Ovis aries: one gene and its partner. The protein of the gene in region 2 interacts with the protein of the main gene of each other region in a biochemical or structural test. Links are inferred from orthologs where the notes say so. Each region holds a gene or a part of one and is shown on either strand. Other genes may lie near its edges.

Region 1 (3,812 bases), on a different chromosome or scaffold from region 2:
ATCCCACACAGAAGCCTCACCTCCCCCTCCCCTCAGGCTTAAGGCTAAGAAAACACCACCTGTCCTAAGCCAGCTCTTGGGAAAGGGGAGAAATTGCTAACAAATTCTGACACACTTTGCATATAAAAGCAGCAAAACTTACTTAGATACAACTCAGGTCCCACAGTACCACAATGTTGTTCTAATCTCATGAGTAAGAACGAGAAAGCGCCAAGTTGACAGAGGAATTAAAACAAGTACCTGAAGAATCTGGTCCCCAGCAAGGAGGCGTCCGTCTTTGGCGATCACCCCATCGCGGTAGACTTCCTGGATGACAATGTTAATCAGTGGCGTTTCATTGCCACCCACAATACTAATTCCTAGCCGAATAAAAGGATTAGACCGGTGGATTTCGATGGTGGTGATTTCACCTTCTGGTAAGCTAAGTGGTTGTGGTGTGGCTGCCAAGTTAAAAGTGAGAGAAAAATAGATGGAAAGAGAAACAACATTTTATATGTTGATTATCTTCAGGCAAAGAAGTCATATTACATTAACAGCTATGCAATACCACTGGATAAGAAAACAGAATGACAAACAACATCTGTGTGTTAAGATTATCTAAACATTTCTTCTCCTAAAGGTGATCAGTAAATTATTGCAACCAGCTACTATGTATCAGATCATGAGGGGTGACACAGAGATCTGGAAACTGTACTAAGAGAACATCACCTCATCCTAACTGATGAGATAGTCTGGAGGGTGGTATGTGTGAAAGTCACTCACTTGTGTCCGACTCTGCGACCCCATGGACTGTATAGGCCAGAATACTGGAGTGGGTTGCCTTTCCCTTCTCCAGGGAGTCTTCCCAACCCCGGGATCGAACCCAGGTCTCCCGCATTGCAGGCAGATTCTTTACCAGCTGAGCCACAAGGGGAGCCCAAGAATACTGGAGTGGGTAGCCTATCCCTTCTCCAGCAGATCTTCCTGACCCAGAAACTGAACCGGGGTCTCCTGCATTGCAGGAAGATTCTTTACCAACTGAGCTATGAAGGAAGCCCCTGGAGGGTGGAACAAATCTCAACAGTGCACAGTAGTATAAAGAAAAGACAGTTCTGGTATGTGGTAACCACAGGGGTAAGAGGGAAGTCATATAGGCCCTGAGAAAGGGAGCGTCTTAAAAATGGGTTATGGCTATTGCGGGCAAAATCTGAATTTGTAGGAACTTCTTCAAGAAAAGTATATTCAAAAGTAATTTAATTTAAGTATTTAAAAGTAAATACCCAGGGCCAACCACCAAGCTATGCCTAGGAGCTACGACTATAGGCTTTCCTAGCGGGCGGGAGTCGAGGGGGCCACCAGAGCATCGCAGCAGAGGAGTGGCCTCGGTGTCAGGGACACACCCAGTCCTTCTCTGGCCGCACATGCTGACCGAGCACTCTCAAGACTCTCCCTGATACAGCCTCCTCACGGCACTGACACAGGTTTTGGGTCAGTTAGCGGATGGAGAGGGTCTGGCACGGAGCCTGACACAAGAGGCACTTAATCGGGGTCATTATTTTCGTTGCTCTTGATATTGTTTTCTTAGTCAAGAAGTGATAAGCAAATGTTTGAACACAAACACAATAAGAAGCAGTTTAACAACCAGTGAATCTTGGACTGAATATAAGAGGGAGTGGAAAGGTCCCCTTCCTCGGGCTAAGGTCCACGTCCTGCTCCTAAGCTGCAAACTGTTAGAACTGTACCCCTAAATGGGTGACTTCTGTGGTATGTGAACCATATCTCAATGTTAACTGTTTAAAGAGGAAAACAACATATGTGGGAGGGCAGTGGGGAGAGGTGGGAAGGAAGGAAGGAACGCCTGATTTCAGACAAGGTGGAGAACAGAGGCGGGGGCGGCACGTACTGTCCCCAGCCAGGCTCTCCTCAAAGGCAGGGTTGTCCAGGCCGGGCTCCTCTGTCCAGGACGGAAGGGATGCCGATGTCAGGGTCCGCCCTGAGCAGTCCGTTTCGGGTGATAAAGCAGCTGGAAGGTCTATGACAGTGGTTCCATTTTCATTCTCGATCTCTATCTGAGTCTTACTAGTTTTCCGTTTCTCTAGGGCAGCTCTCCGATGAGAAGCTCCAGGGCATCTAGAAAGACAACAGGGGGTGGTTTCCAGACAGTGTGAAAGGGAAAAAAAAAAGGTGACTAATAGTTTGTATCACAACTAAACAACAGCAAAGGCTTCTATGCAAAAAGCACCTAGAAGTACCCGCAAGCAGTACATAATTCTGATCTTAATTTCCACAGAAACTAAGTTCTTATCACTCCATGCAGCAAATTTAAAACAAGGCATCTGTACAAACAAGGATTTGGTATATCTCAAAGAATACTTCAGTAAGAAGCTGTGTTTAGGAATATATTAGTACATACCCAGTATACAGCACTACAGTAGTCTCTGCCCTGTGAGGGTTGTCCTGAGGCTCCAGTTAATCCCCCTTTTCACAGGTAGACAGCTGAACTGCAGTAGTGGGAACGAGCGCCTGAGCGCCTTTCTCCACATGCCGCCAGCACCCTGCCTCAGACCCTGAGCACTGCTGGCCTTTCTGCTCTTGCAACCAACACTGCACCTCACCCGCTAGGAGCAGAGATCCACATGAAGCTTCACCAGCTGCAGGAAGCTCAGCCAAGGCTCAGACTACCTACTTGATGACAGACAGGGAAGCAGGTGAAAACATACCTCCTGGTTTGTAAAAGCAAAGCTGCAACAGGGGAATTACAGGTACGCTATGAAATTTAAAGAATGTATTTCTAAGTTCTGGGGAAACTTCCATAAGTACCAAGAAATAAGAACTGTTACCTGGCTTGTTTTGACTTATTTAGGCAAACAAAGGAGGCAGATACATGCTTGTTTAAACATTTAAAGAAACTCTTATACACACGCTGGAAATGCTGCAAGATGCCAGCTCTTTTCCACCTGACGCCTCGACAAGACACAGGATGTATAATGAATGCCGTCTGAGGAGTGAGCAGGAGGAGTCGGGCATCTGTGAAGGAGAGAGCCAGGCACACAGCCCCAGACCCTGACACGACTCCACAGACCCCACCGACTCTCCTGCTGGGGGGAGAAGTTTAGAAAAGGTGGGGCAGGGTAGACGACAGTCTTGTGTTCAGGACTGCAGCCTTTCATTCAATGACAGCATTCTTAAAAAACCTAAAATTTCAAACAAATTAAGTATAGAATTAAATTCAATTAAAGTATAGAATTCAATTAAAATTAGAAGCTATTCCCTAAGGGTATGAGTAATACAATTTCCCACATGAACCGAAGATTTATTTTAGGTCCTGGATTTCAAGGTCTTGAGAAGGTATTTATGAAGTCTCTCTTCAGCACTCTCTCCTGACTCATTTTCCCTTCACCTTCCTAAAAAGGGGCACAATGGATGTTCTGAGCTGCACTGCGGGGCAGTGCTCCACGGAGTGTTTCTGTAAGGGCCTGGTGAATATTTTTGATAATTAGATCACTGAAAAGATTACTTCTGTCGAGAAGTAATTAGAATTTAATTTGAAATTCACTTTTAAAATATTTTACTCAATAAAAAACTGACACAAAAAAACTGAATCATAAAAACACTTATCACTAAGATAGGTAAAGATTTAGTTCTCAAAACATATATCATACACAAATATCTACACAGACTAAAAAAAAGAACTAGGAACAGGAATTGAAGAGGAAATACAAACAATATGAACACCTGGGAATTAGCCTAACAAATGACTAAAAAAATCCTACAAAGTAAATAATCATAAAGGCTAAGAAATAGTTATTAAATACAGAAAAACAAGTTTAAAA
Region 2 (4,508 bases):
CTATGCCATGGCCATTCTCTGAAAAGCACCCCACAGAATTCCCTCTAGCTTGCAGATAAACCATATTAGGTCTACTGTAAGGCCAGATTGAGGAGAAAGCTGGCATGCTGTCCTGGGTTGAGAGAGAGGGGCATGCTGATGGGGGAGGTACATGAAGGATGCCTCAAGGATGTTTGTCCTGCAGCCCAGGATGAAGGGATATATTGAGATAGGTCACAAATTTTGTACCAGTAAAATAGTTGACTCATGCCATTCACCAGAATACAGAGCTTAGCAGAGCTAAGTCCTACTTGGTAGCTGTTCAAGTCCACTATGATCAGGATCAAACTGGACCACAGAAGAAAAGGGCCCAAAGGAGTCCAACTATCCATCTCATCACTCTGTCCAGGTGTCTCTGGAACCAGTGGTGTGATGTGGTAACGATTCTACTTTCCCTCCTCTCCTATTGATACAAGATCTTCTCTTAACCAGCCTCATTCAATATATCTCAATGATGACAGTCACATAAATGAGGGCGGATAGAGCCACCCTCCACAGTCATCTGCCTTGGGGCTACTTGTCATCCCCTAGGCCTTCCCAAAACCTGCCCTTTCACACATAGGCAGAGTCACTGGACTGAGTCCTGCCAAAATTGGGAACACTGACCCGGGGCAGGTCCTTGTTGCGGATCTCATAGACTGACTTCCTCTTGGCCTGGGCTCCTCGCACAGCCAGCTTGATCTTGCGCCATCCCAGGTGGTTGAGTTCAGCCAGGTTGAGCACAACACAGATGCCGCTCACTGCAAACATGAACACTAGAAAAACAGTCTTCTCAGTAGGCCGGGACACATAACATTCCACCTCCTTGATACAGGGGTAGCGGTCACATTCATACAACCCCGGGACACTGAAGCCATACAGAAAGTATTGGCCCACCAGAAACCCAATCTCCAGGGCATTTCGGAATACCACTTGGATAATGTAGAAGCGGGAGATGCCTTCCTGCCTTCGGAGCTTGGATCGAGCTGCAGTGCGCAACCCTGATGGGTGTGGGGTCAGCTCCTTCACCTCTAAACAATCTGGCTCCGTCTCCTTGCTCGTGTTCTCTGTGTTCTGCAGCACTCCATTAACAATGGCATTTTGCAACTTCTTATCTTCTCGTTTGCCACCACCACTGCCCCCACCCCCAGTTCCTCCAGGACCCCCCATGGACTCAGGAGGATCTCTGTCCAGAGCCAGGAAGACAGTAGAGTAGCGGCGTTCTCGTTGCTTTGCAGACTGGTGCACAGAGTAAGTGATGAAGCAGAGACTGGGGGTACACACCATTATGATCTGGAAGACCCAGTAACGTATGTGGGAGATGGGGAAGGCGCGGTCATAGCAGGCCTGGTTACAGCCGGGCTGCAGTGTGTTGCATACAAACATGGTCTGCTCATCATCGTATACCGTCTCCCCAACAATGGCCACAATGAGGATCCGGAAGATCACCACCACAGTCAAGAGGATCCTGAGCAGGGGAAAAGGGAGGGAGAGAGGTTCTCAAGGGTTGAGTCACTGACTCAATAGAAAAGCCCTATTGCTCAGTTCCCAGTTCTGTCCTTGACTGGGGAGCTATCCATCCAGAGTGGTCCTGAACTGGGAATTCAGCAAACCTTTTTGGTCTCTTCCCCTTCTGCTGGGTGTTGGTAGTCTGGGAACACTTCATACTACAGGGATCTTAAGCATGTGCATTTCCATACACTGGACATGGTGTGTTTGCAACAGATCAATTTCATTTGTATACATGTAATGTAGAGAGGCACAAAATATAACTTCCCTCTGGATATGGCAAATGCACATGGAATAGCTGAATACAGCAAATACAAAGTCTACACACAGATTATGTATATGTAAGTACTCCAACTGGATATTTAGTTTATCCTCAATATGAATACTGAACTTAAGCTTTACATAAACAGATAGTTATAACTATATATACACATATATACATGAATATATATAGTTTATACTATATAGTTTATACAGAGACAAAATGTGTCAGCTGGGTGTGTGGGTTTCTGACACTGTAGGTTTTAACAGGCAAATCAGTTTAGCTTGCTAAATATTTGTTGGGGAAAGATATATCTGCTCCGAAGAGCAAATCCATCTCCCCATTTGCCCTTCTCTGTCCAAATACAATCCTGCCTTCTTTGTAGATTCTATTTAGGGAACTGGATGAAGATTGGCTCTGACTCCGGAGAGTGGGGGTACCACGACTGAGCCAATAACTCCTTTGCTAATGGAAGAAAAGTGAATCCCCTGGTGGTGCTTCATAGGGAAGGGATGGATTCCTGATGAGGAGCAGCTTGAGGAGGGGGGCATCACTGGGCGTCAGGCAATCCCTCAATGCTGGGAACACAGGCGCGTGGACCAAGGATGATGGGAAGGAGACAGAGGATGGTCTGAGGGCTGCTGGGGCTCGGTCTGGACGTTAGAAAGGACTCCCGGGGGCCGCCCGACGGGGCCCGCTGATGGCCGGCTCGTCGCCCTTACCTCCCGATCATAGTGGAGTGCTGCTGCACCGCGGCTTCCAGCAGCCTCTCCAAGATGGTCCATTCCCCCATCGCTGTGCATCCGGAGGCAGCAGACAAAGACTGGGCAGCACCGGGCACGTTCCCGCTTCGGGCCCCTCCCCGGGCCGCACCTCCCGACTGGGAGCGAAATGCCCCCCAATTAAAGAATCAAACAAAATTTTTAAAAAATCCAAGATTCCCCCTCTCCCTTTTATTGTACTTAAAACAGGGAAAATGGGGAAGGAAACCCAAGCGCGTCCAACTGATGGGCAGCTGGCGCGGTCCGGAGAGCGGGCACGAACCTCGGGCGCCGTCCGGGGGTCAGGTCTGGAGCCGGGGGATGGCCGGGCGAGGGGCGGGGCGGAGCGGGGGTGGCCGCGTGCAGGTCCGCGAGCTCTCGCCCGCCCGAGCGAGGTGTTTGAGCGCCACTCACTCCCCGGGGTTAGGGGCCGAGGAAAGGTCCGGGCACCAATCCCCGCGCCTGGCACTTCAGCGGGCACCGGGCGCTCCCGCGCTGCCGCCTGCGAAGCCGGGGCGGAGCGCGCGGAGCCGGTTGCAGGGCTCGGGAATCCGCGGCCGCCGCCTCTAATCCGGCCTTAAGTAGTCTCCGCCTGCGTCACGCCAGGTCGGCGGAGGGGAGCCGAGCGCTGCGTGCGGCTGTCGCTGCGCGCCGGAGCCCGAGGGGCAGGGGACGCGCGCAGGGGGAGAAGGGGCCAGAGTCTTGGGGCCCGGTGGGGACTGGGGCGACTTCGAGAGGAAGGATCGCTGCGCCCCTCGAGGCTTCTCGGGGCGCCCAGGTAACCTCACCTGACCGCCAGCCCGGGGCAGGAGGAGGGGGAGCCGGGAGCCGACGCGTGGGTGAGTGGGGAGGGCTGTGAGTAGGGAGTTTAGCGTCTCTCCCTGCATCCCTCACCTTTTGCTTTCTGTGTTTGGTGATGCAACTGAAATTCCCTCTCTAAATGGAGATGCTGGTTGGGGGAAGGAAAGCGGGGGCAACAATAGCACGTTTTTCAGTCTCTCATAAGAGAGGACTCCGTGGCTTAAGAGTGAGTCTGCGGTCGGTGCCATCGTGAATCCGATACAGGAATGAGGAAAGCTCGATGAGTGTTCATTTAGGCTGAAGCTTAAATGTAGGAGTGAAGCTGTCTCTGAGGATGGGGGGTTTGAGCACAAGACTCCCTACCTAAGTGCCTGGTTTGAGCGAGTGGATGGCCATGGTTAAAGGACTCGCTTCCCCAGCGCAAACCCAGACGCTCTGCTATTCTGTATCTATCTTTTACTTATTTATTTGGAGGAGTGGGTGCTTCTCGGGTAAACTGCGAGCTAATCGGATGATAAGGAAGCTCAGTATTCAACTAGCTAGAAGAGCCACTCACGATCTCACTCCACCATCACTTTTGTTTTCCAACCTTGGCTTTCTATGCTGTCAACCAGCAGCTCCTGGTTTCTGTTTTTAAATTGACATATTGCTGACAGTTCTCTCTGGAGCAACTGCTTAATTGGTTACAGCTAGAAAATTAAGACAATCACACTGATACTAATTAGCTCAGGGGTCAGTATTAGGAGGGGCTTCCTAGGTGGCTTAGGGGTAAAGAATCTGCCTTGCCTGCCAATGCAGAAGTTGCGGGAGATGTGAGTTCAGTCTCTGGGGAGGAGGAAATGGCAACCTTCTCCAGTATTTCTTGCCTGGAGAATTTCACAGACAGAGGAGACTGGTGGGCTACAATCCATGGGGCCACAAAGAGTCCGACAGGACTGAGTGACTGAGCACGCCTGCACAGAACTAGGTGTTAGGAGACACAGTAGTTGAGTCCCTGTTATATGTATGTACGAAAAGCACAGTGAGTGGTCGTCACCCTTTTAAAAAACGCAGTGTGAAAGAGCTACCAGCTCCCTTCTAGACAGGTAATGCAGCCTTAATTATCCACAGGGATCATCGCACATATTATTATACATGTATTATGTAAGCTACATCAT

What was found.
Region 1: the proteins of GJD2 (region 2) and LNX2 form a complex in vitro, tested with the Homo sapiens proteins (2 studies listed by BioGRID and IntAct, with this or other methods). The link is inferred for Ovis aries from reciprocal best matches to the Homo sapiens genes GJD2 and LNX2.

What each region holds. Positions count from the first base shown.
Region 1 is NC_056063.1:32,654,535-32,658,346, reverse strand, and holds part of LNX2 (ligand of Numb protein X 2), read right to left. Parts: intron 2,110-3,812; coding exon 1,883-2,109; intron 441-1,882; coding exon 241-440; intron 1-240.
Region 2 is NC_056060.1:28,435,030-28,439,537, forward strand, and holds the start of GJD2 (gap junction delta-2 protein), read right to left. Parts: upstream 2,867-4,508; 5' UTR 2,583-2,866; coding exon 2,512-2,582; intron 1,487-2,511; coding exon 592-1,486; 3' UTR 1-591. UniProt on the Homo sapiens protein: One gap junction consists of a cluster of closely packed pairs of transmembrane channels, the connexons, through which materials of low MW diffuse from one cell to a neighboring cell.